Linked DNA regions of Struthio camelus. The protein of the gene in region 1 interacts with the protein of each later gene in a biochemical or structural test. Links are inferred from orthologs where the notes say so. Each region holds a gene or a part of one and is shown on either strand. Other genes may lie near its edges.

The links.
Region 2: the proteins of STAM (region 1) and USP8 form a complex in vitro, tested with the Homo sapiens proteins (2 studies listed by BioGRID). The link is inferred for Struthio camelus from reciprocal best matches to the Homo sapiens genes STAM and USP8.
Region 3: the proteins of STAM (region 1) and ARRB1 form a complex in vitro, tested with the Homo sapiens proteins (2 studies listed by BioGRID). The link is inferred for Struthio camelus from reciprocal best matches to the Homo sapiens genes STAM and ARRB1.

What each region holds. Positions count from the first base shown.
Region 1 is NC_090943.1:23,830,066-23,837,612, reverse strand, and holds the start of STAM (signal transducing adapter molecule 1), read left to right. Parts: upstream 1-4,518; 5' UTR 4,519-4,623; coding exon 4,624-4,663; intron 4,664-5,085; exon of another isoform or gene 5,086-5,094; coding exon of another isoform or gene 5,095-5,128; intron 5,129-7,547. UniProt on the Homo sapiens protein: Involved in intracellular signal transduction mediated by cytokines and growth factors. Upon IL-2 and GM-CSL stimulation, it plays a role in signaling leading to DNA synthesis and MYC induction. May also play a role in T-cell development.
Region 2 is NC_090953.1:12,457,610-12,465,317, reverse strand, and holds the start of USP8 (ubiquitin carboxyl-terminal hydrolase 8), read right to left. Parts: upstream 3,039-7,708; 5' UTR 2,873-3,038; intron 2,371-2,872; exon of another isoform or gene 2,096-2,370; intron 1-2,095. Other genes in the region: GABPB1 (GA-binding protein subunit beta-1), read left to right, coding at 6,999-7,001. UniProt on the Homo sapiens protein: Hydrolase that can remove conjugated ubiquitin from proteins and therefore plays an important regulatory role at the level of protein turnover by preventing degradation. Converts both 'Lys-48' an 'Lys-63'-linked ubiquitin chains.
Region 3 is NC_090942.1:223,716,400-223,723,598, reverse strand, and holds the start of ARRB1 (beta-arrestin-1), read left to right. Parts: upstream 1-4,153; 5' UTR 4,154-4,196; coding exon 4,197-4,429; intron 4,430-6,355; coding exon 6,356-6,386; intron 6,387-7,199. UniProt on the Homo sapiens protein: Functions in regulating agonist-mediated G-protein coupled receptor (GPCR) signaling by mediating both receptor desensitization and resensitization processes.

The DNA.
Region 1 (7,547 bases):
CTGAGGGAACTACGGCGATATGCTTCGTATAATCCCACTTGCATAATTCATAAATATTAAGACCCAAAAGCAAAATTAAAATAATCTTAGCCTGACTTCTTGTATAATGCAGGTCACCCGACTTACTGAATTGATGCATTTAATATATTCTCTTATATAATGAAATGGGTAAGAATACCACAATTAAGCTATGCAACTTGGGTACTTGAAAATATTAAGGCATTTAACTTAGTCGTATCAAGACAGAAGTAGACCTTAAAGAGATAAAACAGAGATATGCCCTTTAGTACAGTTTAGTTCAGTGCTTAAAACATCTACATGTTGCCTGTGATTGGGAGAAATTTGCCTTAGCCATATCATTGTATTACTATGCATTAAGGAATCTTGTATGCGTTCCAAAACATCTTGTACTGGCCCTGTCAAAGACGAGAACTGTGATTAAATGGACTGCTGGCACTTTCTCCATTCTGAACCTTCCTCTTTTGCTTTGATTTTCTTTTCTGCCTAGCTTTTAGTTCTAAAAGCAATGTATGCAGTGGACTACCATGAAAATGCAGTTAAGATAGAGACCAGTGAGATAGATCCCCGAGACAGCTGTTGGTCTTCACGTCTGCCTCCTTGCTAACAGTGTATTGGCATGGCTTTTGGGTTATACACCTAATCTTTGCAGTGCAGCAGCTAGCAAACTCAGACTGCTAATATGCACTAAAATAAATGGGGATGCCAAGTATAATATTCCTCCAGCGAACTGCTCCAGTAGACCTTCCCTCCGTGGACATAATGTTTTTATCTTCCTCTAAAAATATGCTTGTCTAATGCAGATATGAGTCAACTAAGCAGTTTTAAAAAACAGACTTAGAACTTCCCTAACAGATTGCAATTTACAAGTTACTGTTTCCAAGCACCCTTCTCCCTCTAGAATACTATAGGCAAGTGATTTGTTGTATATTACCAGAATCAAGAACTAATCTTATGACCAAACTGTTGTCACAATTTAAGAAAACCAAAATAGAGAAATTATATAAACAACCCCCCCTCCAGCTACTTAAGACATCAAAATGCTACCTGCTTTATAGAGTAAAAATAAAAAGTAAAGTTAAAAGAAATGATCACTGAGGGTATCTTTGTATGTAGTTTCCCAATTGCTTTGTCAGCATTAGATCCAGTGGACTTAAAGAAATAGGTTGTTGGTTTTGATAAATTTCTCAGAGGACAGGTGTTCATCTTCAAAAAATATTCTGTTAGCAAATGTTGTCAGTCTTGCCAAAAAAGAAGAAACTAGACTTCTTTTGCTGCTTCTGATTTTAGAATGTTATCAGTGACACTGACTTCCAGGGGCCTTTGACCTTCACTGCGGTTAAATCAGACAATTCATGTATTGCATATACTTACCCTGTATATAGAGTGATCCTTTTTAAAACCATTCTAATTCTGCATGAGTTACTAAATAAACTGTGACATATCCCCTAAATACACTCTACAGTAAGTTCAAAAATATTGGAAATACTGAGAAAAAATTACTTTGCTCCCCTTTTATTTTTACATAAAAATGTAACTCTTTCAAACGCCCTTTGTATCATAGCATTCCCTACAGAAATATCTTTACATACAAAAAAACAGTTTTTAAGCAATATTTTCTAATATCGCTACTACTGTCAGTAAATGTGAGATATAGCTTGTGAGGTGACTTGAATGCATATCGGGGGCAAATTATTTGATAGTGACTCATATTGAAATCAAATTTAAAAGTATGTCATGTCCTTAAAATCCAGGAAGTGAGTAAGCTGCACTGGCAATTAACTGAATATATGCCTCTATCACTTGGCAGTATCTGAACAACAGTACTATATGAAAGATGAAATGTGCCAAAAAAGGATCTATATGGATCAATGAACTGAGATTGTTTTTGTTTAGAGAAAATTCATGTGTATATATATATATATATATTTAAGTACTTTAAATTTGCTGTTGGAGACAGGTCCTAAGTCAGAAAACACGTACCAAACTGGGAATTTATGTAATGTTATTTTAGCTCTTTTGAAGTTGGGCAGACAAGCTCCTCTATGAAATCAATAAAGTCAGACCTTTGCAGAGGGCATCTCCAGATACATGTCTGAATTAGAGCAGATGAATCATCCATCCCCTGGAGATGCCTGGTTTTGTTGACCTACTCTGGTGAAGCCGGTATACTATCCCCAGGCAATCATTCCCACCTCTTCCCTTGCCTGGGATCTAGTTGTAAGGTGAGTCAGACCAGTAAGATGATCCAATAGGGGACTTTTCTGCAGTGAAGTAGTTTTCAGTTGGATCAGCTGATTATGCAGCCACAAATGAACTGGATCAAATTCCAAGTCTAATACAAGAAATGTGGCGGCAGCACATAGTTGTGGGCACAGGGAGAGCACTACTGCTTTATTCTGTATCAGCTGCAGTTACACTGAATTAGATGCAATTTGAGACACTTCGCTTAGATTAGATTCTTTACTTTTAGATAGCTAAATTAGGCAGCGTGAGTCCCATTTCAAATACAGTAGGAAATAATACAAACATTTTGAACTACATTCAATAAAGGAAGCTTGACACACCTTTTTTATTAGTATGCTAATTATACTACTCATACATGAAGTAGAAAAGCTGGTTTCAATAGCCTTCACTCTCTGAGAAGGCAAAACCCACACTTGACAGAAGAGTGCTTGAACCATCACCCATTGTTGTACTATGGCAGAACGCAAAAGCCATGGGCCAAGGGAAAGAGGAATATACGACATATTGCAGAGTACCCAAGGGAGTCGTGTACTTTACACCAGGGAAGTAGAGAGCGTGTTCAAGCGGGAAAATAATGTTACAGAAACAAATCATGGGCTAAGACTAAAGAGCCTTAAGATGCTCTCTCGGTCCTGTCTGCCCTTCTCATAACATCGAATAACCTTGAATCGGTGGCTTGCCTGGAAAGTAGAGCAGGGTTGAGATTCTTTCTGGCTGAAGAAGATCTAAAGCCCAAGTTCCTTGCGTCTTACATGCTTGTTCTTACTGCAGGACTACTATATAAAGCTGTGCCTGTTTTAGAAAGATTGTTACAATTTCATTTTGAAACCCATCAGAGGGAAGGGATGAAAAAGGAGAGGTTAAAACAAGCTCTGAGAACTTCCACCACGTGTCTTTTGGGGTGGACATAATGGGGGGATGATGAACCAAGGGGAGGTAAAGCATCCTCTGGGAATATCTCGCTAAGGTCTTTGAACTGAGGCAGAATCCAGAAAAGGGGAGTACCAAATTCCTTAAAAGTAGTAATTCTTAAGCAGCAGATCGATGCTGAGCTGCATCAACTGCTGAAAACAGTTGTTGCGGATAGGGAAAGAAGCAGAACTTGAGGTCCTGGAAAATTGTTAAGTCAAAAAAGGAAGCGCCTAATGACTGTAGGTCCCTGCGGGAAGAGGCTTGATATGTAGTTTTCATTCAATGTGTCAAAAGTCTGCCTAATGCATGCAATTACATTCATTATTGAGCATTGTTATTGCTATTGATTTCATCTCGTGTTTCTGCACTGCAGACACCAGTGGTGTTTTTTTCAATCCCTGTTTGTGTGTTTGTGATGGATATGCTGATACTGCTCTTCCAGATGTTCTGACTTTTCCCTCACACACTGGCCCAACCTTTTTGCTTAACTTGTTACCCAGTTAGTCCAGAGTAATTAAATAGTACTAAAAGCCCTTAAGGATAATGACTGACTTTTATGTACCAGGAACAGGCAGAACGTGTCATAGTCTATGAGTCAAACTCTGCTCACGTGAGAAGTTCTGTCGACGCTGGTGAAGATATTTGTATGAAGTGAAGAAGCAAGACCGTGCAACCCAAGGCCATGGGGTACTAAAGCTCTACGGACAGCTGTTAGTTCCTAATCTCAGCACGCTCTGACCTTTGGTAAGTACGTGGTCAGTCTTGCGCACGAGCGCAATGGTCCCATGCCACCTTGTGAAACACTATCACAACCACCAGCTTGCAACTTTGTAAGACGTCACTTATTTCAAAAGCCTGCTGACATTAGCAATGCAAACACCAGGTCAGCACGACGTGCAGGAAAACTCTGAAATTTTTCTACAGAGATCAGGCTTGCCTGGGCACGACGCTGGCTCACCTACCAACCGGGGAGGCATGACAGAGCTCAGCAGAAACAACAACCCCCCCCCAAAAAAAAACAAACAGAAACCCCCCAAACCCCATTTGACTCGCCCTGTCTCCCCGAAACGGCCCTGCCGGGGGCAGCGGGGCCGGGACGAGGCGGCGCGGAGGGTACGGGAGGCGCCGGCGCCCGCCGCGAGGTGCGCGGCCGGCCGGGCCCCACCTGCCGAGGGCGGCGGGGCCGCGCAAAGCGCCGGGGCCGGGGCCGCCCCCGCCGGGCCGCGGGGCGGCGGCAGCAGTGGCGGCGGCGGGGCCGGCCCCGCTTTCCCAGCATGCCGCGCGGGGCGGGCTGGCTCCCCGGGCCTGCGAGGAGGCGGCGGAGGTACCCCGGGCGGGAGGAGGAGGAGGAGGAGGAGGAGCAGGAGCTGCCGCCGCCGCCGCCGCCGCTGCAGCCCGCTGCCGGGAGGGGAGCGGGGGCCCGCGCCCGCGCCGCCGCGCCCCGCGATGCCGCTCTTCGCCACCAACCCCTTCGACCAGGATGTGGGTGAGTGGCGCCCCCGGGGTAGCCCCGCGCCTGGCCCTGCCCCGGCCCCGGCCCCTGCTCCGCCCGGGGCCCCCGCCCCCCCACGCCGGCCGGCCGGCCGGGGCTGCCGCCGCTGCCCAGCCCCCGCGCCGCGCCCCGCTGCCGGCAGCCCCGGCCGGCGCCCGCCGCCCGCTCGCACGCCCGCCCGCCTCCCGCGTGTGGCGGCGCGGCCGGGCCGGGCCGGCGGCAGCGAGCAGGGCCGGGCTGGGCCGGGCCGGGCCGCCGCGGGGCCCGGGCAGCGGCGGCGGCGGCTGCGGCCTGTGGGTGTCGGCGCGGGGCGGCCTGGGCTAACGCGGCCCTGTGCGCTCTGCGGGCCGCCTGGTGCCTCCGGTGAGACGGGCTGGGCTGCCCAGAAGTTGCGTTGTGCCGTGATAAAACAGGACTGGCAGGAAATGCTCATGGCGGTGCCTTACCGAAGGATGCCAAGTAAAAGCCCCATCTACAGTTGTTTCAAAAGCAAACATGGAAGAATTGGCAAAGGGTTGCCTGTTTACTGCTTTAAAATTAATTCCACGGAAGGGTTTTTTTTTTCCTCCCTCTTTCAAGTGAAACTTGACATGCTGTGATCGGGTTTCCTCCCCACCGTACTTCTTCCAGGGCCAAACCAGATGGAGACAAAATATCTGGTTTCTACTTGACAACAATTGTGCTTAATGCACATGTATCTGGATCAAAAGTAAAATAACATATAAGCAGGTTTAAATTTATTTTGTCCGTCTGATGTGAGATTGTGCAGTATGGCTGACCTCCTACCTGATGCTTGCTTCTGTTTTATTGTAAATGTAACTAGAAACTTTTTCTGGGGAACATTATAACATTGAGGTGCGTTTTCTCTTATTTGGATAAATCCTCCTCCCACATACTTATATCCTTTCAATAATGTAACACTGTATATGTTTCTTGGAACAATTTCATTGGTAGCCTTATAATTTTGTATCTGCTGTACCTTTTAATTACAAATATGTGATTCATTTCATAATATTTATTTTACTTTAGAAGCCAGGGCTCCAGTTTAATTCTTTTAGCTCCTCAAAACCCCCTCAAAATAAAAATGTTTTAAAAGCATGCATCTTTTGGGGGAAGCTTATGCATAAGTGAAGATGAAACTGAAATTTTTTATTTATTTTAGCAGGAATTCTGAATCTTGCATCTTAGTAAAGCACGTACTTAAAGCTCATTTTTCTTCCAATTTTGGATGGTAAAGCACACTGCAATCTTTTCTGGTGAAGGCTGTCTTTTAGTTTATACCTTTCTTGGTGGTAAAGTCAATAATTTCTTATTCTGAAAAGTAATATATCTTTTTATCCTAATGTTTCTGCTGTCTTCTAGTGTAATTTGTCAGCTGAGAAAGAGGAAGAGGTTGCATGACTTGCCAATTTTCTGTGAACCATTAGAGAATTGACATATTGGTAAGGTTATCAGTGAGAATGGTTTGAATTAATAAACCAGACTAAAAAATGGTAGCTGAAGATCTGGTAAATGTTTACTCTTTTAATTTCTAAGGCAGCTGTCTAGCAGCGGTGAAGATCAGACTCTTTGAGTGGGTTTAGATAGAGCTAAATCTGGTAGATCATATTTGTCAGCATTGTAAGTTTTGTAATGCAGGGTAGTAGCACCCAACTGTTACTTGAATGGGTTGTTTACTATTTTCTGGTGGCAGAGAATGCCAGTGCTGTAAGCTTAGCTACGGTGCTTGCCTAGCCCAGTCACCAATAGACCTGACGTTTTTCAAAAGCGTTATTCTGTGTATCGTATGAGCACAAGTAAATAACTACTTAGTCCCATGTTGTTCTTGGAAGAGAAGATAGTGAGCAAATGCGTTGATTTTCCCCGAAGAATGAATACAGCTTTCTTCCAGCTATATTGCAGCCCCTTTTCTTAGGGGTCCTGAGGGAGACCTAAGGAGCTGCAGACTGTTTGATTGGTGGCAGCCTCCTTTCAGAGGCTTGCTGCCTTCTTTCATCGCTTGACTGTGTTTGTGCCAGGGAGATAGGAGCGATGAAGTCTCCAGGAAAGAGTCCCCAGGCCCTTCTTCCTCAAGGCCCCTTGGGAACGTGCTGTTATCTCGACGAACAACTTGGCAGGCTTCATAAGATACATCAGCTGTAGAGCAGGCTCTTGTGTTCTCGGAAAACTTCAAAAAGTTGTCCTGCGGCGGCGGTGTTTTCAATTCCTTTCTCAGAATGAAAGTTTGGGTGCTCTGCTTTTGCTCTTGCTCAGCAAGAAAGTTTTCCTATGAGAATCAAGATTCCTGAAGCAGGAAGGCAGTCAAAAACTGTTCTTAATCTCGTTGTATGAAGCTGGACATTGGTGTAGATGTTAGTATTTTTACTGTGATAGCTGTGTATTCTCAGCTACTGGACAATTAGCACTGTGTAATAACTGGAAATGACTTTGGAATTGCTTAGGACAATGGATTGCTAGGAACTCATCTGGGACTAAATTGGTTTGAGGAGTGTAAGTGTCTCTAGGTTCAGAAGGAGAAATTTCTTGGCCTCTCTGGCCAGTCATCAGCATTTGCCCAGTCCTGTTAGCATGCTGATGGTATGGAAGCTGGTCATCCGTGATAGCTTACCATTTACTGTCAGCTTTGTACAGAGATTTTGAAGGAGGGGGGGGAATACCTCTTCTGTAGATGTGGCTGGCAAAAGAGTGTTGTTAAAGACTGCGGTTAAACTAACACTATTAACGAATGTTGTAAAGGTGCCCAGAGATTTGAGATGGTAAGCCATTGTCATCTTCAAAGAGTACACATCTCTGGATGAAGCCCAAATAATTTGTTTGTGATCTGAACCCTCTTTCTACCTTATTTAGGAATATTTTAACAGAAGGGGATGCTAATCAA
Region 2 (7,708 bases), on another chromosome or scaffold:
AATAGGCTAACTTATTCAAGAACAGCATGAGCCCCCCTCCTCCCACTTCTCTCCCTCGCTCTCCTCCTAAGCAGTAGTAAATCGTTCTGTTGCTGTATGTTCTGAGCAAGCGTACAGCCATAGGCTGGGTGCCCTATGGCAGCTAACATCCATTCTAGTTCATCAACAAGTTCTTCCTTGTCTCTTAGCATAAGCCCAGATTCCCTCCTCCTCACCTCATACCAGTCTCTAGCCACTTCTTAAAGAACTGCAGTTTGCTGCCGCCTTACTGCTAGTAATCTTATAGAAATCGGTGCGAGAAAAACCAGTTCATGAAACAAACTGTCTGTATTTGACACAAGAAACATCTGATGGGTAAGGGCCAGGCACCAGAATCATCATCTTCTGAAATCCAGAAGAACTGCTCACTTTCGCACTCGGACGCGAGTTTCTTCATTCACTGCACTTACTCCTCCTTGCTTCTAAGATTCAATAGAAACTTTTGCTAACTACTCTCACTTCTCCTTTTACTTTCCAAAAGTTTTTTCCAACTACTCTCTCACTTCCTTTTATCCACTGTGGGTCTCATCTTTTTATCTTACTGTCATCAGACATTCTATTCTGATTATTGTTTTGAAGTCAAGTTCTGTAGCTATTTACTGACAATTCATTTCCATGTAATAGAAACTTGTTATTGGCCTGCTAGCCTTTACCCTTTAGCATTTGCTACCTCAAATGAATGAGCTCTGTTCCCTGTCAGAATTGAGTAGGTGTTGGGAAGACTTTAGGATTTCAGAATCAAAGTCTGCTCCTTTATATATACATATAAGCAGCTGATTTTGAACCTAAGTTTTTGCATATATCCCATTCCTAATTTTATTGGTCTCAATACTTCCTCTAGCAAAATAAATTGCACAAATGAAGTTCAGGAGTAGTAAACAGACAGCAGCAAAGTGCACGGAGAAAGACCAACTACTGTGAAGTACATACTGCATCTGTGTTTGTTTCCACTAGAGGAGTAGCAACTGAACTGTACTTTTGATCAGGAATTTCATATCAATTTAATCAGGAGAAACTGTTGCTGGTCCAGTCTGCGTTGATTAGGTTACGCTCGCTTTTGCGAGCGTTCCATTTCCCCGTCGCTTCTGATCAACGTAGCAATACAACGGCAAAACCGAGGCGTAAGTGAACCCACCAAATAATACGTGTGGCTCTTTCATACATCCACAAGGGAAAGAGAATAGTTCCCTCCCCAGCAAGAGGAGAAAACTGGATCATAAAACCGTAAACGCAAGAAGTGATTCAAGTCATAATACCTAAATCTACTATTAATCAACTCTGTGAGGAGGTGGGAATGACCTGTTTCATGTTTACCAACCTTCTTCCTGAAAATGAAGATCAAAGTCTGGATCTATTTATCCTAAACCATGGCTGAAGCATTGTCTCCATCTCCTTTTTTATACTTAAGAGCACTGAAAATAAGGTGGATATCCAAAAAATACAAGGGAAATCATGCGTGGATATTGATGGCCATTCAAAATACTTAAAATGGATAGTTTTACACTGACAGAGAAACATACCTCTTGATAACAGGTTTTGCTACATCTAATTATTATGACTGTTTTATTAAGGATATGAGTAACCTGTAAGTGGAATGACCATAGCCAGAACAACGCACAGAAGCAGTTATGTTGCAAGTAGCACACGCTAAGGCGGTCTGAACTGACATGGTAAGTACTGTGCACCCATCAATTCAGGTATGTAATAAAGTATTGCACTTATTTTTGTGTCCAAGACTTCAGCAAAGAAGTGGCTTTCTCACAGGCATGAAGTTTTTCAGTTCTTTTGCAATTAAGTTTTATTACTTGTATTCTGTACACAGGGGGTTGGTTTTCTTAATATCAGTATTAACCTAGAGATACAGCACTTAAACATGACTGCATCTTAAAATTCAATCAGTACATTTATCTCTGTGAGCCATATGCATTTCTTGCAGGCTCTCGTACTGTTAAAGCTACAGACCTCGGTCCTACAACTTAATGCGCAGAGGCAGATTATAATCGCTGGGGCCCCTCCTAGCGCGGCCAGCACGCTGCCCCGGAGCACCTAAACTTACGCCTGTTTGCTGGGTGCTGTCAGTCATCGTAGCAGTTGCACAGCGTGGGTCTGTCTTGGGCCACGTACCGTTTTGAAACGAACGACCTCCGCGGCAAAGCTTTGGGACCCCTCTCATAGCGTCGTAGCAAGATCGTTTCTGACAGCGTTTGCTGATCCAACAGTCAACAGTTCAACTAACACTGACTTCTGCGGGGTGGGGAGGAGGAGGGTAGTTCACGACGAAGTTATTTTAAAAGGTTAGGTTTTATAGGGGAAGTTTGAGAGTTAAGCAATCTACGTTTTTAAAAGAAAAAAAAAAGCAGCGTCACTTTATTTAGATTAAAAAGCTACTTGAAATCCGCCCAACGTGCACGAGCAGCGTAGGTAATGGAAAGCGGGGGAGGGGAAGGCGAGGTTTAACGCTCCTGCACGGTTACGAACAGGTTAAAGCCGGCTGGCAGCCCTGCGCCGCGCCAGGCCCGCGGTAACGGGCGCCGCGGCCCGGCGCCAGGCCACGGCCAGGGCTTCTCCGGCGCCGCGGCCCTCGGCGCGGGCACCGCTCCCGCCCCGCCCGCTCTTCCCCGGGGGCTGCGGGCTGCCCAAGGTCACCGCGGCGCGGCCGGGCCGCAGGGCTCGCGGCAGCGCCGGCACCCGCCGGGCCTCCGCGCAGCGCGGCGCGCCCTCGGCCGCCCCCGGCTCCGCTCCGCGCGGCGGCGCCGGGCCCGGGGCTCCCCCGCAAGGGCGCCCCCCCGGCCGCCCGCCTCCCGCCCGGCCTCCGCACTCCTCCCGCACTCACCGCGGCGGGATCGCGCTGCCTCAGCCCGCCGGCCCGCGGCAGGCCATGTCCGAGCGCGGCGGCCGAGGAGACGCTACGCGGCCATGGCTGCGGAGGCGGAACTCGGCGGCAGCGCCCGCCCCGGGCCGCCGCTCCCCCCGGGGGCGGGGACTCTCCGCCGCCCTGCGCGGGCGGGGGGATCGGCGGCGGCGCCGCCAGAGCGGCCGGGGGCGGGGCGGGGCGGGGCAGGGGAGCGCGACGGCGGCCGCACCTCACGCCTACCTCAGGGGCGGCAAGCGTGTGCCGGCCTGACCGTGCCGCGGGGTTTGAAACGCTGGGAGCAGCGAGGGGAGGGGGTGCTGCCGCGGCTGGTTCCCGTGGCGGTCGGTGGGGCGGGTCGGGTCGTCGAGATCTCACGCAGGCAGGAGGACGACGCGGTGTCCCGCCACGTTACCCGTCTTGCCCCTACCTGCCTAGCGGTGGGGGAATGTAACGAAGATACTGCAATCTGCTGCTCCGTTTTTGCGATCTGATCAATGTGTGCAAGGATCTAAAGGGAAGGTGTTAAGAGGATGGGGCCAGACCCTTCTCACTGGTGCCCAGCAACAGGACAAGCGGCAACGGGCACAAACTGAAACACAGGAAGTTCCGTCTGAACACGAGGAAAAACTTCTTTCCTGTGAGGGTGGCTGAACACTGGACCAGGTAGCCCAGAGAGGTGGTGGAGTCTCCTTCCCTGGAGATAATCAAAACCCGCCTGGACGCGATGCTGGACAACGTGCTCGAGGTGACCCTGCTTGAGCAGGGGGGTTGGACTAGGTGATCTCCAGAGGTCCCTCCCGACCTCAACCATTCTGTGATTCTGTGATTTTGCCAATGGAAAGATCTTGTGCACTGGAGCAGTTTCCCTTGGCCATTTATTGGTTTTTTTTTTTTTCAGTCTACCTTGTAGACTAGAGAAGATGGCCTGTTACCAGTATTTCACACGTTTACGTTTCTTGTTTCAGCATGCCTTTTAATAGTGTATCCTTGAAGCATGCTCAAGCTCAGATCACTTAATGCTTGCAGAGACTGGCAAAGTAATCCTTTGTGTGAAGTGTGCACATATACGGCATCCACAACATACCATTTTGCCATAACAATGGGTTACATACTGATACTGTAAGTATGATTTTAAAGATCCACAATAACGAAATATTAGCTGCGGATACTATTGCAGCATCTGTGAGGTTAGTGCTGTGCACCCCCTCAGCACTGCCGCCAAGCCCTGGGCGGTGCGATCTGCACTGCGTCTTTCCTTCAGCAGCGGAGGGGCAGAGATGATGGAGGTGGGCTGTGGTCTTTCCTGCAAAGTGCTGGGGCAGAACAGGGCCAGGGAAGAGCATCTGTGCTCAGAGAGGTGGGGAGAGAAGAGTGGGTGCTAACACCGTTTTGTGCTGCAGGATCCAGCATAGAATGAAGCTGGTGGGGAGATCCCCCTCTCCCTCAGGAAGAGCAGGTGGGCTGGGAAACTGAAGTTAACGAAGATGGACAGAAGGAGAAGGATGCTTGTCTTCATGTAACCCTCCAAAACTCTACAAAACTCTATTGAGTAATTGTCCAGAAGGCTGAATCGTATCACAATACTTCATGGTACTGTAATGCTGGTTGGTATCAGGTATCATGAAAGGCTCAAATAATATCCTCCATCTCTACTTTGCAGACCAGATATGCAAAAGCTCCTGGGACAAGTTAAGTACAGCTCTATGCCTTCTCCTATATTATGCATTCATAGAGATTAATATCAAAGTGAGTTGAAATATTCTAACAACATTCAACAGGATTGAATGCTATTAATAACACTATGGTCTTGTACAATACTTTTTTCAGAACTGCTCCAATTGTTTTAGGAGAGATCGGTAGGAAGTCATGCAAGAAAGTTATGATAGCAACAAGAAAAGATTTAAGTTCCCTGATGTCAAAGACTGCGTCCTAAGCGTGCAAATTAATGCTGAGTATCATACTAGCTGCTGTCCAAAATGGGCTCAGTGTCCCTTTTAATATTTAACTTATATGAAGGAATTGTGTCAGAAGGTCTTTTGGTCTTACTTGTACGGGCAAAACCAAACCATATATAGAAAGGTATCATGGAGGACCTGCCTATGCAATTAGTTTTACCTTATTCAAGAACTTGTTAGAACATGCTACTATGCTGACTGTGTTATAACATGCTGCCTTAGGTGTTGCCTTAGGTTGAAACACATTTTCCTATCAGCACATATGTTACTGTGTAGCAGTACCAAACAAATAAACAAAGGAATTTAAAACAGCAGAAATCAGAATGTGTTTGTTAGATTATTTGGTTAACAAGACCTAAAAATTATTCTCACATGACTGGATAAAATAAAGGAAAAGAAACAACATACTTCACAGATGCAAACTGTGTTTTGACTTGCCTATATTAGACATCAAATGTCTCTCTCTTAAATGTACTTTTGATGAATTCTGTCAAATGAAAATACCATTAGAGATTACTATTTCAAAGATGGACGTTGTACCCATGATAATGAAAACTCACATACGGTGTTAATGGAACTTTAACGAAATGTATACTGCATTCCTAACTCTATGAAAGATTTTCTGTGATACAGATAATTTCATTTTTTCCATACTACTGCAGCCAAGACCACAAAAAATTCCTGCTGGTTGCTGCACACCTGTGAGGACATAGTAACGTTTTCTGTATAATCAACTGCTACTGCGTAAATGACAACTCGTAATATGCCAGGGGAAATGCTTTTGTTTAGAGGCACAAAACACTTATCAATAATGGAAAAGAGATGTAATGAATTTTGGAGCTAAAGTTTCTTTACTCTGATGGCAAAAGCTGCAAGAACGAGGTTTCAACTTGTTTTTAGTGCCCCCTTCTGGCTGATCAGTCCTAGAAAAATAAGTAAACCGCCTCTCGGACATGTCAACAGGTCCCAGAGCGAGGTGACCTATAAAGGAGGATTTAACTGCCTTTCCAAAAAGCGTGTGGAGAATTCGTCCCGTTAACCTAACCCAAAGCAAGAAGTCCACGAGAACTGGACGGAGTCCTGTGGACACAGCGGGCAGCAGCGTGAGCACAGCCCGTACGCTCAGACAGGAGGCCTCAGTTCTCCCTCCCATGTAGGAGCAGGAAAAGTCAACTTGTTTCTGAACTTGGTGTGGGACAGTCTGTCCCGCACTAAACGGATCAGTTCCAGTGGTGAGTAGAGGATTCAGTCCTGTAGCATTTCTGAGGCAACGTTAGTTCTTTGCAAGCTCGTTATCTGCATTTTCTTTAAAGACATTTAGGGAAGTCAAGGGCAAAAAATAATGGCTATGAGCACATCGTTGTGACAAATATTCCCCTAATTATCTAGGTGGCCTGACCATCTCCAAAAACAACTAAAGGAGAGTTCTGTGACTGATCCCTTTCCTGAAGGATGTAGGTCAGGGGATCTACCCTTTACAGCAGTACTGGAGGCTGCCTGACACAATAGTTCTGTGGGGAATCCCAGCTCGAGCTTTTTGCAGCTTGGTTGAAAGAAATCTCAGAAAAACATTTCGTGCACTGAGGTTATCAGGATCGACGTGAGTTTGAGGTCAAGGCCAGCGCTGTTTGGCACAGGCAGGGGCAGTGATGGTTTAGGATCACTTGCGACTTGTCACCCACACCAGGTCCTGTCTTTATGACCCCAAAGCGTGGCTAAAAACCTTGCTCAGACAGGTCAGCCAGGGCAGCAGGGCCCGGGAGCACAGGCAGAGCCCCAGCAGCCACAGGGCAGTCAAAGCTGCCCCTGCGGCAAAAGGGAGCCTTAACAGGACCCCTTTTAAGGACTGGCAGGGCCCCCCCTTCCCTCTTTCGTAAACTGCTCGCAGGGAGGCTCCCGCCCTCCCCCGTGGCCCCGTGACAGCTCGCGGCCACCCGCCGCAGCCCCGTCAGGGCCGGCGGCAGGCGGCCAGCGCCCTGCCCCCCGCCGGGCGGGAAGCGCCACAGAACATGGCGGGCGCCTCCAGCCGCCGCTTCCCCCGCCTTTCCCGGCGCCGCCGCGCATGCGCGGCAGGCGGCGCCGAGGCCGTATCCCTCCGCCGAGCCCCTTTTGTCGGGGATATTTGTGTAATAAGATAATACCTGCGCCCCATGGTAAGTGCCGGCGCCCCGCCAAGCGCTGCCGGCGCGGCGGCCCCGCGCGGCCCCGCGCAGCCCGGCCCCGCTGGCGGCGGGGCAGCGCTGGGCTCGGCGCGCCCCTCCCCTCCGCCCGCCGTGTCCCTCCGCCAGGCGCAGCGGGGACTTTTGTGTGGGGCTTTTGGGCGCCGATGAGCGGCGGCCTCCGGCGCCCCTGGCTGTTGTCGCGGGCGGCGGCGGCCGGGCCGGCAGCACGGTAAGGCCCCCATCCCCGCGCCCCGTCTCTCCCCCACCCCCCCGGGCCGGCCAAGCTTTTCCAGGTCAGTCTGCGCCTTTGTATAGGGCCCTGTTACCGGATGTGGAAGTTGATCTCTTCGCTGGTAAAAAATAATTCCACTTCCCCCGGAACCCGGCGCCGCGGCTCCCTCCGCAGCGCCCAGCCCAGCCAGGATTTCCTGTCGGGGAGAGCGGGCGCGCTGGCCGGCCTTCCGGGGACCCCGCCGCGCGGGGGGCGCCGGCCGCGCCGCCGCCCGCCTGGGCCGCGCCGCGGGGCGCCGAGCGCGGCCTGCGCGGCGGAGGGGCCGCGCCGGGCGCGGGGGCGCCGCCGGGGCGCGGAGGCCGGCCGGGGCGAGGCGGGGGCCGCCGCCGCCGCCGCGGAGCTGCGTTGCCCCACGGCCCGGCCGGCGCGCTGGGGCCGAGGGGCGCCCGGCGCGGCCCCCGCCTCT
Region 3 (7,199 bases), on another chromosome or scaffold:
CTGGTTTGCACACAAGTTTGTGTGCCTGTAAGGGTAGGGGGGTGTGCGTGCTCAAAAGGGTGTGTGTGGTCACGTGGGGGCTGTGCATGCACACGGGTGTATGCGTGAGTGTGTGCTCACATGCGTGCTTGTGTGTGCACGGGGGGTGTGTGTGAATAGAGGTTTATGTGTGTGTTCACAGGGGTGTGCATGCACGTGGGGGTGCTCGCGTGGGGGCACGTGCTCACGGGTGGGTGGGTGTGCGTGCACGGGGTGGGTGTGCGTGCATACAGGAGTGTGTGTGCACAGGAGTGTGTGTGCACGCAGGTATGTGGGTTGGTGCACAGGGGTGTATGCGCACATGGTGTATGCGCAGGGACTCAGGGCTGGGTGGGCACTCGTGGGGTGTGCTTGCACACCGGTGTGTGCATGCACGCAGAGGCCTGGGGGGGTGTGCGCATGGGGGGGGTGTGTGCACAGGGGTCTGCGTGTGCTCGTGCACAGGGGGGTGTGCATGCACATAGGAGTTTGTGCGTGTGTGTGCGCAGGGGTTTGTGTGTGTGTGCACATGGGTGCGTGTGTGCACATGGGTAGTGTGTGTGTGCACAGGGGCCTGCGTGTGCTCGTGCACATGGGGGTGTGCATGCACACAGGGGGCTGTGTGTGTGTGTGTGTGTGTGCGCTTGTGCACAGGGGGGTGTGCATGCACACAGGGGTTTGCGTGTGTGTGAGCATGCACATGGGTAGTGTGTGTGTGCACAGGGGTCTGCGTGTGCTCGTGCACATGGGGGTGTGCATGCACACAGGCGGCTGTGTGTGTGTGTGCGCTTGTGCACAGGGGTGTGTGCATGCACACTGGGGTTTGTGTGTGTGTGTGCACATGGGTGCGTGCGTGTGTGCACATGGGTAGTGTGTGTGTGCACAGGGGCCTGCGTGTGCTCGTGCACATGGGGGTGTGCATGCACGCAAGTGTTTGCGTGGGGGGGTGCGTGCGTACAGGGGTGTGTGTGTGTGCGTGTGTGTGTGTGCACACATGGGGGGTGTGCACAGGGGTGTGCGTATGCTTGTGCCCATGGGCGTGTGCATGCACACAAGTGTTTGCGTGCACGCATGGGGGGGGGTGCGTGCGTACAGTCGTGTGCGTGGGTGTGTGTGCACCCGTGCACGCGGGGGGCGCGTGATTGTGCACACAGCGCTGGCTTTGGGGGGGGGGGGGGCGCTCGCTCTCCCGGAGAGGAGGGGCGGGGGGGGGGGGGGGGGGCGCTGTGCGTGCACGCACCCGGGCCGCGTGTGTGCGCATGCACGGCTGCCTGCGCGCGGGGGCGCGCGTGTGCGTGTCCGCCCTCCCCAACGGAACCTCCACGCCGCGCGGGTGGGTGGCTGCGCGCCCCCGCGTGCGTGTCCGCGGCCCGCCCCGCCCGCGCCGCGCCGCTCGGGGGCGGGCGGAGGCGGCCGCGCCGCGCCGCGGGGCTGCGCTCTGCAGCGCCGAGCCGAGCCGGGCCGAGCCGAGCCGGGACAGCCGAGCCGAGCCGGGCCGGACCGGGACAGCCGAGCCGAGCCGGGACAGCCGAGCCGAGCCGAGCCGGGCCGAGCCGGGACAGCCGAGCCGAGCCGAGCCGGACCGGGACAGCCGAGCCGAGCCGAGCCGAGCCGAGCCGGGACAGCCGAGCCGGGCCGAGCCGGGACAGCGGCGCCGAGCGGAGCCGAGCCGAGCCGGGCCGAGCCGGGACAGCGGCGCCGAGCGGAGCCGAGCGGAGCCGAACCGAGCGGAGCCGAGCCGAGCCGATCCGGACCGGGACAGCCGAGCGGAGCCGAGCGGAGCCGAGCGGAGCGGAGCCGAACCGAGCCGAGCCGGACCGGGCCAGCCGAGCGGAGCGGAGCCGGACCGGGCGCAGCTGCCGCCCAGTAATTTTCCAAGCTCGGGCCGGCGCTGCCCTGCGAGCGGCCGCGATCCGCGGGGGCCATGGGAGACAAAGGCACCCGGTGAGTGCGGGGGTCGGGGGCCGGGGGGGGCGGCGGGGAGGCGCCGGCAGGGGCCGCGCCGCTTTCCCACGCCGCCGCTTATGCGCAGGGGAAACTGAGGCACGGCGACGCGGGGTCGCACGGTGCCGGCGGCCGCGGTCAAGGCGGAAACGGCTGCGCTTCCCTCGAGCGGGGCTGCGGGCTGCCCTGGTCCCCGTGTGCCCCCCCTAGGTCCCCCCCCACCCCGCGTCGGTGGCGCTCGGGGCGCGCTGCCCGCCGTGGGAACGGCGGCGCCGGCCGCCCCTCCCCGTGCGCTCGGGCCCGCAGCCTGCTGCTCCGAGCAGCCGCCTCGCCTGCCACATCTGGAGGCTGTCGGCGTGCTGGAGGCGGCAGCTCTCGCCTGCGCGCAAACCCCCCTTTCCTGAAACGCAGCTGCAGCTGGGGAGGGGCGAGGGATGCAGCTGGCAGGGCTGCTGCAAGAGCCGCTTTTGTCGCAGCCCGGGGGCCTCATCCGGCAGCCCCGAGGGGCGGCGGGGAGCAGAGGCGGGAGCCCCCGGGCTGGGCGTGAGGGCAGCGCCCGCTCTCGCGGCGTCGAGCACGCGAGCCGCGGGGCAGGCCGCCGCCGCGCCTTTCGGGAGCGCGTCGGGGGGGTTGCGCGACCCCGATGGGGCGTCGCGCGTCCCGGGAGCGCTGGGCCGAGCCCGGTGCCCGCTGGGCGCTGCGCCTAGAGGCATCGGCGACGCGGACGTTATTACTCTCTTTCACCCGGACCCGGCGCCTGGACGTTGCTGGGGTGGGGGCACACGAGCCGTCGCTGCTGAGAAACGCTTTTGCTTTTGGGTTCGGGTGGGAACCAGGAGCAACCGGGCCCCGTTGTCCTGGTCGAGGGGTGTTTTGGGCCTGGAGGTCTGGCGGGGGGGGGGACGTGGGGGAGCCGTCGTGCCCGTTGTCACCCTGCGGGGCTTCGAGCATCCTGCGGATGGGAGACCCTGCCTGGCCTGGGCCCTGGCTAGGGGCGCGCGTCGATGCGGCGAACGCGCGTGCGGGGGCGCCCGTCGCGCACCGCCGGCGTCGGCTGCCCGGGCGGCCGGGCCCCGAGGCCGAGGTGGGCAGGGAGGGTGGGCCCCGCTTTTGCAAGGGTTTGGGCCCCGCTTTTGCAAGGGTTTGGCCAACCTCTTTGCAGAACCTTCCGGAAAGGCTGCATGGATGTGGGGTCGCAGGACGTGATTTGGGGGCCGGATGCGCCCGGCTCTGGCTGTCTCCCCTTGCCCTGGCATCAGTTTTTTTCCGGAAAAAAAGTATGTTTTAGCCTCTAGAGCGTGAGAACAGCCCCTTCGCCCCCCACGGTGGCCGGCCAGCGGCTCGCGGGGGTCCCCGCTGCCGGCCTTCGAAGGAGCCCGCCGGGGATGGGGCGAACATCCGCATCGCGTTGCCCCGGGGAGCGCCGGTGCGAGGGTTTCCCGGGAGCCGCGGGGCGTCTGCCGGAGCAGACGAGGGCGCGCGGGGATTCGCGTGACAGATCTCTTCTCATTCACCCGGGGGGGGGGGGCTTTGGTTCCCCCCCCCCCCCCCAAAAAGCCCGGGAGCCGGCGCGGAGGGCGGCCGGGTCGGCTGCGGCTTTGCACGGCGAGGTCGCGGGCTTGCAGAGCCCCGGTTTGCTTTTAGACTCCGGAAACACCCGAAAAACCTCATTTCTTCCAATTCCTTCGTGGGCTTGCAGGGCCGCAGAGCCGCGCGCTGGGCCGCCTCCGTTGCGGGGGGGGGGGGGGAACAGCAAGTTTTCAGCTGGCTCGGGCGGCGGGGCCGCAGCGTTTCGCACGCGCGGCCGCGCTGAACGTCGCCCGTGCCGCCGGCGTGAGGGTTTCCCTGCCCGCGGGCGGCGGGTGCCCCCGGGGCCGGCGCGGGCGTCAGCGCACCGCGTTTCCCAGCCGCCTGCCGAGCGCCCTTCAAAGCCCTGCGCTGCGGGAAGCGTCCGCAGGCGGAGTGAGAGCCGTGCGCTCGCCGGCGCCGCCGCGTCGCCCCCTTATTTACGGCTTCTCCGAGGGTGCGACCCCCCCCCCCCCCCCAAATCCCGGCCTGGATGCTGCCGACAGAGCCGAGGCGGCCGCGGGAACGGGCCGGGGAGGGGGGGCGCCGAGGCGGGCCGAGCTGTCCGGGCTGCGGCGGGGAGAGAGGCAGCGCTGGCCGCTGGCCCGGGGGGAGACTCGTGCTTCCTGGCCTTTGTTTGCAGAACAAACTCTCCTAATAACAGCAGGATGCAGACATCCCGGATCCGAGAGCCAAGTCGCTTCCTTGCCAAGGAGGCCCGGAGCGAGGAGCTGCTTGGGCCCGGCCGGGCGATGTTGTCGACGAGCTGGTCGCGGGAAACGTGTTGCGACGGGGTGGGCGTCAGGCGGGGCAGGCGAGCGAAGGGCAGCGCGGGAAGGGCCGGCAGCGAGGGGGTCCTGGCCGCTGCTCCGCGCGGGCAGCTGCGGATGTGCGGCTGCAGGTGTGCCCGGGCCGAGGGCCAGCGCGGTTCCCGCGGTGGCGGGGGTGGTTCCCGCGGTGGCGGCAGTGGTTCCCGTGGTGGTGGCAGCGGTTCCCGTGGTCGCAGTGGTGGTTCCCGTGGTCGCGCTGGTTCTTGCAGTGGCAGCAGTTCCCATGGTGGCGGCGGTGGCAGTTCCCGCGGCGGCGGCGGTTCCCGCGGTCGTGGCAGTTCCCGTGCTGGCGGCGGTGGCAGTTCCCGCGGCGGCAGTGGTTCCCGCGGTCATGGCAGTTCCCATGGTGGCGGTGGCGGCGGTTCCCGCGGTGGCGGCGGTTCCCGCGGTCGTGGCAGTTCCCATGGTGGCGGCGGTGGCGGTTCCCGCGGTCGTGGCAGTTCCCGTGGTGGCGGCGGTGGTTCCCGCGGCGGTTCCTGCGCGCCGCCCTGCTCGGCCCCGTTTCCCGTGGCAGGAGCGCGGCCACCAGCGCCGATAATTAATAGGGAGGAGGAAATAGCGGGGTGGGAAGCGCTGGCCGATTCGATTCACCCAGCCTCGGGCAGGCACGTGGCCGTCGACCCGGCGCCCGAGCCGGGGGATTTCTCCTTTCCTCCCGGCTCGGCCGAGCGTCGGGCGCGGGAAACCCCCGGAGGAGAGGGATCGCCGGCTTTTGGCGCGGGGCGACGGCGTCCGGGACGCGGGGGAGCGACGAGCCGCGTGGCCCCGCGCGCGGCGGCGGCTCTTCCCGCGCGCCCGGCCGGATGCTGGCCTGACCGCGGAGCGCGCGGTGCGGTTGCTCGACGCGTTGTCCCCCGAGGTCCCCTCTCGGGCCGCGGAGCTAATGGGATCGAGCCGGCAGCCACATTAACATGAGGCCTGGTGAAACTCGCTCCTCTGCCCGGCGTTCAGGGGAAATCGATGGCGTTGCTTTCCTGCTCCAGCTTCGCCACGCTTTAAAAAAATAAAAGGACCCGGGGTGGGGGGCCGATAGCGGGGGCGCCTGGCGTTTGCAGCCGCCTCTCACGTCCCCCAGGGATGGGGACGGAGAGGGGCAATGCCAGGCGCCCGCGGCCACGCTGACGTCCCTCGTGCAGCTTAACCCGGGGTTCGGTTACGAAACGGGGCAGCTGAGCTGCAAGAGCAGGTCTTTGTGCGCCTGTCGAAGGGGCGGCCGAGGTCACTGCGGCCTCCGCCGGTGACCGGAGCCGGCGGCCCGCGCGCCGTGCTGGGCGCTGCCTGCGGCCTCGCTGCAGCCTGGCTCCGGGCTGGCGCTCGGCGCTGCCCCGTCTCTGCCCAGGCTCCCTGGGCGCCTTGCGGAGGCTCGGGCCGTCTCGGCGCGCCCTGCGAGGCAGAAACCTGCCCTTTCCGGGCCCTCAGGCAGCGCTTTGGGCAGCGCGGCCTTTGCGCGGCAGCTTGCGCGGCACCTGGTGCAACAGGGCCTTTGCACGGCACCTTGCGCGGCACCTGGTGCAACAGGGCCTTTGCACGGCACCTTGCACGGCACCTTGCACGGCACCTTGCGCAGCAGGGCCTTTGCACGGCACCTTGCACGGCACCTTGCGCAGCAGGGCCTTTGCACGGCACCTTGCACGGCACCTTGCACGGCACCTTGCGCAGCAGGGCCTTTGCACGGCACCTTGCACGGCACCTTGCGCAGCAGCGGTGCCGGGCAGCCCCTGGGCATGCCGCGGCGCTGGCGGGGGCCCCGCGCTCCAGGACCCCCCCTCGGCGAGAGCTCTGCCCGGCGGCGGCTCGCTGGGCTGCCGTCGCGCCCCTCGGACTGGGCGCGCGCCCAGCCGTGCCGCGCTGGGGGGGGGGGAGCGCGGGGCCGCCAGCCCCCTGTTTCGCCGACGTTTCTAGGAGAGGCTGCGCGGCGGGGGGAGCTGGCCCGGGCACCTCGCTCCTCCGTGCCTCGGTTTCCCCGCTAAGGCGCCTTCCCCTCTCCTCTTTTGCAGGGTGTTCAAGAAAGCCAGCCCCAACGGGAAGGTGAGCGGGGGCCGCGGGGGTCCGGGGGGGCGCTGGGGTCCCACCGCTGCTGGAGCCTGGACCGCACGGGGGCTGCCGGGGCGGTGGGGGGGAGATGGGGGGTGATGGGGGGGGTCTGCATTTCTCTGCCGTCCTCGATTTTTCTTTGCGCTCGGAGCTGGACGTCGCTCCGAGACCCTTTCTGGGCTGTCGGACATGTACGGCCGGGGAGGGAGGGAGGGAGGGAGGGAAGGAAAGGAGGAGAAGGAGGGAGGGATGGACGAAGGGAAGCACAGAGGAAAGGAAGGGAGAGAGCGAGGGAGGGAGAAGGGAAGGGAAGAGGAAGAGGAGGGAAGAAGGGAAAGAGAAAGAAGAAGGGAGGAAGGGAGAGAGGGAGGGAAGGAGGGAGGGAGATGGGAAGGAGGGAGGAAGGCAAGGAGGGAGATGGAAAGGAAAGAGGAAGGAAGGGAGAAAAGAGGGAGGGCGGAAGGAAGGGAAGGAGGAAGGAAGATGGGAAGGAGGGAGGAAGGAGCAGCCGCTTCGCCGGGCGGCAGATCCCTCCGGGAAGGGTTCGCTCCCGCTCTCCGTCCCCGCGGGAGCCTCCGGGCAGGCGGAGGAAAAACCCCGGCCCGGTCCGGAGGGCGCGATGGCGGGCTGCTGCCGGGCTGGGGGCTAACGAGCTCCGGGCGGGATTGCCGGGGCCGGGCGGCGGGACGCAAACCGGATTTGCGCGACTCGCCCCCTGGCCTGAGCCCCGCAGCCGTGTGACGAGCGCGTGGGGTCTCTGCACGCGCCGCCAACCTGCCCGATGCCGGACACCCAGCGCCTCGAAAA